Linked DNA regions of Drosophila melanogaster. The protein of the gene in region 1 interacts with the protein of each later gene in a pairwise test. Each region holds a gene or a part of one and is shown on either strand. Other genes may lie near its edges. The genes, in order: sisA and dpn.

Evidence for each region.
Region 2: the proteins of sisA (region 1) and dpn interact in a two-hybrid assay, tested with the Drosophila melanogaster proteins (one study listed by BioGRID).

What each region holds. Positions count from the first base shown.
Region 1 is NC_004354.4:11,320,852-11,324,013, reverse strand, and holds sisA (sisterless A), read left to right. Parts: upstream 1-1,656; 5' UTR 1,657-1,723; coding exon 1,724-2,293; 3' UTR 2,294-2,435; downstream 2,436-3,162. UniProt on the Drosophila melanogaster protein: Involved in sex determination and dosage compensation. Required for proper expression of Sxl in embryonic somatic cells. Also has an essential function in the yolk nuclei. Involved in endoderm migration and midgut formation.
Region 2 is NT_033778.4:8,228,317-8,234,244, reverse strand, and holds dpn (deadpan), read left to right. Parts: upstream 1-1,914; 5' UTR 1,915-2,196; coding exon 2,197-2,322; intron 2,323-2,550; coding exon 2,551-2,646; intron 2,647-2,656; exon of another isoform or gene 2,657-3,141; intron 3,142-3,179; exon of another isoform or gene 3,180-3,742; coding exon 3,743-4,828; 3' UTR 4,829-5,274; downstream 5,275-5,928. Other genes in the region: CG34217 (uncharacterized protein), read left to right, coding at 5,630-5,928. UniProt on the Drosophila melanogaster protein: Transcriptional repressor of genes that require a bHLH protein for their transcription.

The DNA.
Region 1 (3,162 bases):
GCCTTGCTCCTCGATTTTCAGTACTCTTTCTAAGGGTATAGTGTTTCTTTATTGTCCGAAAATGGAAGCCCTAGTTCAACATTTGAGTATATAGAAATAAGAGTATATACATATTTCCTTGAGTCATCCAATTCAGCTAGAGTATTCCGGCCATCGGCATTCCCAACTTATTCTCAAGCTGAAAACTGTCAGGCTTCAAGTGTTCCTGCGGGGTTTGGTTTGGTTTTGGGTGGCCAATTGGGATTTGGTCGAAAATGATTATAAATGGTTTTTTAATTATACTTGTCTGCATATTTTCTCATTTGCCAAACAAACGCGGCGCTGTCGATTTTATTGTTCACATGGCAAATGGTTAATGCCGAATGGAAAATGGTAAAATGCGAAAAATGGAAAAATTATTGCCCGTCTGCCGCTGACAGCTTGCCCCCATCTGGCTGAAATGGGGGATTTCGAATTAAAACTGCTTTCGGTCACTAAAAATACTCAATTGTTTTGCCAATTACCCAGCGGAGTTATTTATGCCAGTTATGTAATTCGAGTGGCACACATGTGCAGCGTTGTAAATTGAAATACATGAAAATGGAGCAAGTGGAAAGTATATTTTGGGTACTTGCAGTGTTATAACATTTTACTGCTTTTTGTTCAACAATTAATTGGTTATTTAATTAGCATAAGTTGCTGCTTGCGTCATATTGTTCTATAATATTGCTAGTTAAATATTACATTACATCAGCCAGAGATAGCAACTATTTATGGATTTTGAGTTTGGTCCACCAAACTCTATTACATATTATTCTCAGCCAAAGGGATTTCTGGTTTAACCCTTTGAGGCCTGCTAAGCAGGTCGCTGAACCCCTCATCGTTTCGAGGGCTGTTAAATTAATTAATAGACTAAATGCGGTCGGTTCGGCTGGTTAATCCCACGACAACAAGCCGCAACTTGTTTGCCACCACGTCGAAAGTGGCTCCTTGAAATGGCTACCTGATGCGGGAAACCCACTTCCAGATGGGTTGATCCGGAATGGACAAATAGCAACTTTAGCAGGTAGCAATGGCAATCGATATTGGTGTCTCTTATCGCATAATGCCGCCTGATCCCACCCGCTTGACATGCTCGTATTTGCCCAAGCAGGTTGATTTTCCACATAGCCCAACATTTGTTGACTCATTTCGGCTGCTAGATAAGGCGCGAATCGGCAAATGGATGGTGATAGACGAACAGCCCAGCTTGACCTTGGGATTATTGTGGATTTAATGACGCCCTTATCAGTTGCATTGAATCGTATCTCTTGGCTTAGAATATCTTTTATATTATGGGGAGTATTTGCATACCGACATACATATGTATGTAGGTAGCCATTGAAGAAACCCACATATTGGTTCGCACCTGATCCTTTTGTTTTTAAATTTGACCAATTATCAGGTAGACTCAGTGCGTCTGCTACCCTAATCCCTTTGTTTACATATCTGCGATTCGTTGGCCAATCCGGATGCAGGTAGGCGGTGTCCAGCAAGGCGACAAGATTGAGGAAAACAAGATCATAAATCCCAGTGACCGCCATTCATGAAGGTAGAACCCGCGAATAACCCATCCAGTGTCCAATGGCAAGCTACCTGCGGAAATGGTATAAAACGGGGCTGACATATTGCCTAAGGCAGCATTAGCACACGAAATCTCGACGAGAGCAGTCACAGACCACGTCACACATCGAAAAAAATCACCATGGAACGGAGTCATCTTTACTTGCCCACTCTGAGCTACGCGGCCATGGGTCACGTATACGCACCGTATCGCGGAAGCAGTTCACCCGCACTATCGACAGCATCGTCAACATCATCGAAGCCGGAGCAGATCGAGGAGCTGGTGTCCCAGCAGCTGCATCATCTCAAAATGCACTACGCCGACGAGGAGCAACGCTACGTAGACCAGATGCTCCTGGAGAATCCCATTGTTGTGGAGCGCCGTGCACCGCCGCCGCTGAAAACGGAGCTTGCTATGGATTGCCGCGGATCGGGTTCCGGATCAGGTTCCGGTTCTGGTTCGGATGTCAAGGATGCCCAGCGTCAGAGGGCCGAGTCGTGCCGCAAATCCCGCTACAACAACAAGATCAAGAAGGCCAAGCTGCGCTTCCGGCACAAATTCGTCAGCGGGCAGCTGAAGAAGAGCGCCGTCATGTTGGACACGATGCGGGATGTGATTGCCCAGGCGGAGAGGCAGCTGCTCGAGCGGGGATATCCCGCCGCCACACTCGAGCGGATGCGGGCCACTTTCGGCCTGGAAATGGAGCAGTGATATCATAGTGTAGCTATGTGTCGCAGGAACGGATCCCTGACTAGTCCAGCATTAGCCATACCACTTTTTTTTTTTGTTGACTATATCTAGTATTTATCTAAGCATATTATTAAATTTTTAAATAAAATTAAGAATCATATTGAAAACGAATGCTTTCTTATTCAAATATTTGTTATAGGTTCACACGATCATATGGAGTCAAGGATAACTTGTTAATTTCACTTTACAAGAATTTCCCATAATTTGGATGCATTTATTCTGCATTTAACGCATCGGCAGTCTTGGGGTTTCCTTCGCCTGGCCGAAGGTAATCCCATCGGAATTGGGCCAATGCAATGCACCCATTTCGACTTGCTTAAGTTCAGTTCATTTGATCCGACATGATTGCACTTCGCTTTCCCCGTTTCACGTTTTTCCCCCTTTCCATTCTTTTTTTCCCTTTTTTTTTTTGGCTTGCGAACAATTTGCGTTGCCAAAAGCAGCAAATGCAATGGAAGTAATGGCCTTAAGAGCAGGTTTCTGTAAGAGATTGTGGCTAAATTTAGTGGGGCTACTACTGCAAATAGCACCCCACTTTCTGGTTGGTGTTTTCATTTAAGAACTGCGAACTGAACTTGGAAGCTTTACTAAATGCTTGCCAAGGGTATATACTATGTATATATATATACAATATAATTTTAATAACTACATATATTTTTTAAGTAATTTCTCATAATATCTTGATGTCTGCGTAATGAGAAGGATAAATATAGATACTTCTGATTGTTTTTTACCCCAAAAAGTTATTCTATTTCACGCCGTATCTTTTCAACTCTTTAGGTATCAGTTAGTCGTTACTACTGTTCACAGATATTTTTTAATAGCACAAC
Region 2 (5,928 bases), on another chromosome or scaffold:
TTCAATTCTCAGTTTCTGAAGAAGCTCTGCAGACTCTGCACGTTTCGCCAGACGATTGATCCACATATGTCGGATGGTTCTGAGGTTTCTTCTCCCTGGCCCATGGCACTTTTACATTTTGCCAGCTCATCGTGCTTATTTCGGGTTTCGTGGGAAAATGTTTGCCAAATTTGCGGCGTTCAAAGGAGCCAAAGTGATCGCCATTAAGCAGGGTGATGTGCTCATCAGTGCAGAATTCAGCCGAACCCCATGGTTTAGTTGCTGTGGATGTTTTAGTTGGTCAATCGTAGCCGTGGCATTTATTCAATTTACGAAAGTTGACATCGGATCAGTGCTGCAGAGCTTGTGCATGATGGATGATCGCCACAGATTATTGCTCAACACGGGATTTACGCTCAGGCCGCGAGGGATCACTTTGCACAACCAGGGTTGCCAGGCGGCGCAATACGTTTACGATCCCACCCAAAACTCCCCAAATCGGTCCATAGGTAGATCTACGTCAGCTGTCAGCTGGCGCATGGCCCGCGTCAGTGGTTATTGACAACTCCTTTGGTCGTAATCCTGCCAACATCGTAAAGTAATAAATTTGCCTGAAAAAGGAAAATCTGCCGGGGATCGACTATAAAAATTGGCCCAGCCAGGTAAGCTCCGTAATGATTGACCCCGACCCTCAGTCCCAGACCCACGACCGATCCAGGTCCGATTCCGATCCATTGCAAGTCGCGATTCCGTCCCGAAACCCAAGCAACCCCCTAAGACGCTTCTGCCGATGAGCCGACCAGGCAAAAGCGAAGAATTTGAAACTAAGGATTTCGCCTTGCAAGGGGGTTGGGTTGTCACGGGGGTTGCGGCAGCTGCGCCGAACAATTGCCAAGGAGTTCTCCTTAATGAATTGCAAATCATTCGCCGGGCATTGATCAAGTTTGTCCTTGCCAAGGGTGAAATCTGTGCGACTAAATGTGCCATCAGCCAGCCACCCAAAAGGGAAACGGACACAAACGGAACATCTGTCGCAAATAATGCTACTCACTGATAACTTATAGAAAATCTCACTTGATACATTTTTTAAGGAACTAAAGATTTTTTGCTTTGCTTTAGCAAATTTCAAGTACTAAAGAAGAATCGCTGTTAATTCTCTGAATATAGTTCATATTTTTGTTAACTATTGCTTTAATCAATTCATTAAAAGTAATAAGCAAGTAAAAAGTAAAAAAAAGTAAAGTAATAATATTCATAAGATTTATAGTAGCTTTGTATAATTATTGCTAAATATATGAATATTCTAAAACAAATAGATTGGGTATTAAGTCGGCTTCGACACGAATTAGAAGATTAAATTCAGTTATAAATTTTTGTTAAATTGTAATAAACTTTAAATTCATTAATGATATGTTATTGATTTTAATGCTTAATTTCCTTCAAAATTATTTAATATACAATGCTTGCTGTATTTTACAATAAAATCAACTAAATTTTGTGGGTTTCGTCAAGCCAAAGGCTAATGACTTGGCTTAACCGAATGTTGTGTTGTTTCTCGATCAGGCTCGACTTAGTCTCGTTTACTTGAGTTAAGCTCCTATTTTCACTAATCCCCTGGAATCCGCAATTCGTTGACTCGGCAACTCTGCCTGCCTGGGAATACCTACTCAAATACTCACTTAAATCTCACTCCGAGTGTGAACTCATTGGATTTGGGGTGGTTATGCACTCACTCACTCTCCGATTGAGCGCAACTGCGCTGCTGCGGTGAAAAGTTCTCAGTCTGCGGACGGCGATCGTTGGGCTGCCTACCTGCCTCAGCTCTGCCTCTGCCGCTGCCCGCGTCGCCAGGTAAGAGAGTCCCTCGGTTTCACTCGTGGACTCGTTTCGGCTTCGACCCGATTCGTTTTTAGCTGGTGCCCGTGGACTCGGAGGATCAGTATCCTTTTGGCATCTCGCGAGCGCGGTCGTCTGCCGCTCTCCTTTGAATGAACATTTAAAATACTATTCTATACGATTCGATAACCAGAACGATCTTTAACGCGTACCGCTTGTTAAGTTTTTGTTGTTCGGACATTACTAAGAAGTACGTGCAATAATTGTTATAACTATTTTCGTACTCGAACCAAAGTTATTGTGTTGTGAAAAAGACCAAATCGAAATCGAACTATCTTGGATTATCTCCCACTTGGATATACAAATTAAAATCGTTACAAAATGGATTACAAAAACGATATTAATTCCGACGACGATTTCGACTGCTCCAACGGCTATAGCGACAGCTATGGCTCCAATGGACGCATGTCCAATCCCAATGGATTGTCAAAAGCAGAACTTAGAAAGGTGAGTTCGCTCTTTTGCGATGAAATTGGACTCGCAAACTAAAAAATAGCAGAGTTTATTAGCACCCTCGATCGTTTTGAACCTTTTCATTTTAATGGCTTAGAAAATGTAAAGCATTAAATTAATTTTAAAAATCAAGTGAAACCCTTGTTTTATATAAACAAAGATATCCCTTAAACTGAAATAAATTCCTACGAAATAAACTAATTGATTCCCTTTCTTTTCTAGACCAACAAACCGATTATGGAGAAACGTCGCCGAGCTCGCATTAATCACTGCCTCAACGAACTGAAGTCCCTTATCCTGGAGGCGATGAAAAAAGACGTAAGTATCTTGCCCGAGCGTCAAAGCAGAAAAGGAGCGGTCCGCCCGCGAATTAGAAACTAGCCCCCGATCCCTTTTGGTTCACTTTCTTATAAATAATGTTAGTCCACAAAAAAAAACCTTTAAGGCACAAGTGTCCGAAGGGCGGCAGAACTACAAAAGAACAAAAAAATGTATAAAAAACGAACTCCTACGACACAAGAACTGAAAAAAAAAACACAAACCAAGGGCTCTAATTGAGTATTAAATTTTATTGATGATCATTACACTAGAGCGCCGACGAGGAGTCAGTCAAGAGACCAAAAAGTGTTAACAAGTCGAGGAATTACGCAGAAATCGCCGGAGATGCGAACGAAACCAGTTTCCAAGGAGTGATCCTGCTGTGAGAAACTACAAAGCAGAAATCAAGTAAAATTTGCCGCCGCAGAATTCTGCAGGAGAGCCGGACCAAAAATCAAATAAGAAAGACATTGAGGGAAAAAAGCAAAAGTAAACAAAAGGTTCAGACAGGGGAGCGGGGGAGGTTGAGGGGGCGGGGCTGGCGAGCGACCTGCGTGGGAACCTTTTGCTAAAATATGCAGTCCCAGCGGCGAGAAAGGGACGAACAATCGGGGACCGAAGACTGGCGAAGATCGCACTGCGCGAAAAAAGAAGATCAGGAAGAACGATTTGGAATCTTCTGTGCCCAAAAAGTCTTCATATGAGATCACAAACGATAAGATCGGCGAGTAGTTTATTTTAGAACCACTTACTAAAGACAGTCACTTTTCCATCATTAGTATTCACTTGCCAGAAAATTTGACTTTAAGCCCCCTTTTTGCTCAGTGCACAGTAGCAAGATCAGTCGTTCTTCTCGCTGGAGTTGCTGAATCTCACCTTGGTCGTGTGATATTTACAGAGTGGACTCGACTGAAGTGGACTGCAGATTACACGCGAATAGTTGGACATATGAGGCACGAAACGTGCTTCTTAACTTCGCTTTTTCCCAAGCTATTGAACTTGTTGTAGGGCCCCAAACAATTAGCCCGACCATCTCCCACCCCATCCCCATTTCATCATTATCTGACTTTGGTTCCTTCGTCTTCTATACTTTTAGCCGGCTCGTCATACCAAACTGGAGAAGGCCGACATACTTGAGATGACGGTGAAGCATCTGCAGTCGGTGCAGCGCCAGCAGCTCAACATGGCCATCCAATCGGATCCCAGCGTTGTCCAGAAGTTCAAGACGGGATTCGTTGAGTGCGCGGAGGAGGTGAACCGCTATGTAAGCCAAATGGATGGCATCGATACCGGTGTTCGTCAGCGGCTCAGCGCCCATCTTAACCAGTGTGCCAATAGTCTGGAGCAGATCGGTTCGATGAGCAACTTCAGCAATGGATACCGTGGTGGCTTGTTTCCCGCCACAGCTGTCACGGCTGCTCCCACTCCGCTGTTTCCCTCGTTGCCGCAGGACTTGAACAACAACAGCCGCACGGAGTCATCGGCTCCGGCCATCCAAATGGGTGGACTTCAGCTAATTCCCTCCCGCCTGCCCTCGGGAGAGTTTGCCCTCATCATGCCGAACACAGGTTCCGCTGCTCCGCCTCCGGGACCCTTTGCCTGGCCAGGATCTGCAGCGGGAGTCGCAGCTGGAACAGCCAGTGCCGCCTTGGCCAGCATTGCCAATCCCACACATCTAAATGACTATACACAGAGCTTCAGGATGAGCGCGTTCAGCAAACCGGTCAATACCTCAGTTCCGGCCAATCTTCCGGAAAACCTCATCCACACACTGCCCGGCCAAACGCAGCTGCCGGTGAAGAACAGCACAAGCCCACCGCTGAGCCCAATCTCCTCCATCTCCAGCCACTGCGAGGAGTCCCGGGCTGCCTCGCCCACCGTGGATGTGATGAGCAAGCACAGTTTCGCCGGCGTCTTCTCAACTCCGCCACCAACCAGCGCGGAGACCTCCTTCAACACCAGCGGATCCCTCAACTTGAGTGCCGGAAGCCACGACAGCAGCGGATGCTCGCGACCGCTGGCCCACTTGCAGCAACAGCAAGTGAGCTCCACCAGCGGAATCGCCAAGCGCGACAGGGAGGCGGAGGCCGAGTCCAGCGACTGCTCCCTGGACGAGCCCTCGTCCAAGAAATTCCTAGCTGGCGCCATCGAAAAGTCGAGCTCCGCTTGGAGGCCGTGGTAGATCAACCGCACAGGCCACTTCTATGTTACGTTTATACATTGTTAATTTATTTCATTGCAATTTTTTCAAAGATCACTTCAATGCTTTAGAACCCCATTAAGTTTCAACGATTTCTATATGTTTTTATGTATCCCCGTTTCGCTTTCTTCATTTTAAGTTCAGCTGTGATTTTGTATATTTTTTGTGTAGTTCTCGTTTAAGCGCTTTATACGACTATTATGTAGTTCATTAAATAATTATGTTCTTTAATGTTTCATTAACTGCTCAAGTATTTAAACAATTAAACGTGTTTCTATTTAAGTTATGTAGTTTTCATTGTATAGCGTTTATCATTAGGTCATTCACGTTTCTATATTAGTGTTTTAATTTAACGATTGTAATTTTAACTTTTAGGTAATGCAAAATTCGATGGAGTGAAAATAATGATAATAAAAAAAAAATGCTGCAAAAGAAAAATCCATCCAAATTTAATGGTTCCTTGGTTCTTAACTGATTAGAATTGGAAAATTCAAGATCGCATCAACAATCAATAGTACTTGAACTCATTGAAAAGTCGGAAGCTGAATTCAAATCAATACGGAAACAGCCTTATCATGTATGTTCGATGTTTTCGCAAAGTTTGATTGAAAAGATAACTCAATCGAAAGCTCCCAATCCATGCTATATAAGCAATAGGCGGAACACATTTAGTGTGTCAAAAACTAAATTATTGCAATCAAGAGCGCGCAGTGACTTTCAGGCGTGCATTGAAAAATCTCAGAAATTATAAAAACAATTTAATTGAAAAATTTTAATTTTACCATGCCAGGAAATCTGTTTCAAGTGTTACTAACTGTGGCGATCCTGCCAGCTATTAGTTTGGCATCTAGTTCTGAAGATGGTCTGCACCATTACCGTGCTTCTCCAAAGCTCACGGGTCCTGTGAAGCTCCTACACGATCCCGAGGACACCATTCTGAACACCTTGGATGGCGCTCTGGAGAAGATCTCCACCATCTACATGCAGGCCTTGTTCGCTGGTACCCACACCCCGGAACTGGAAGCCCCACTCCGAGCCCTCGAAATCGAGTTGTTCGATCTGCTGGACGAGCTCTATAATCA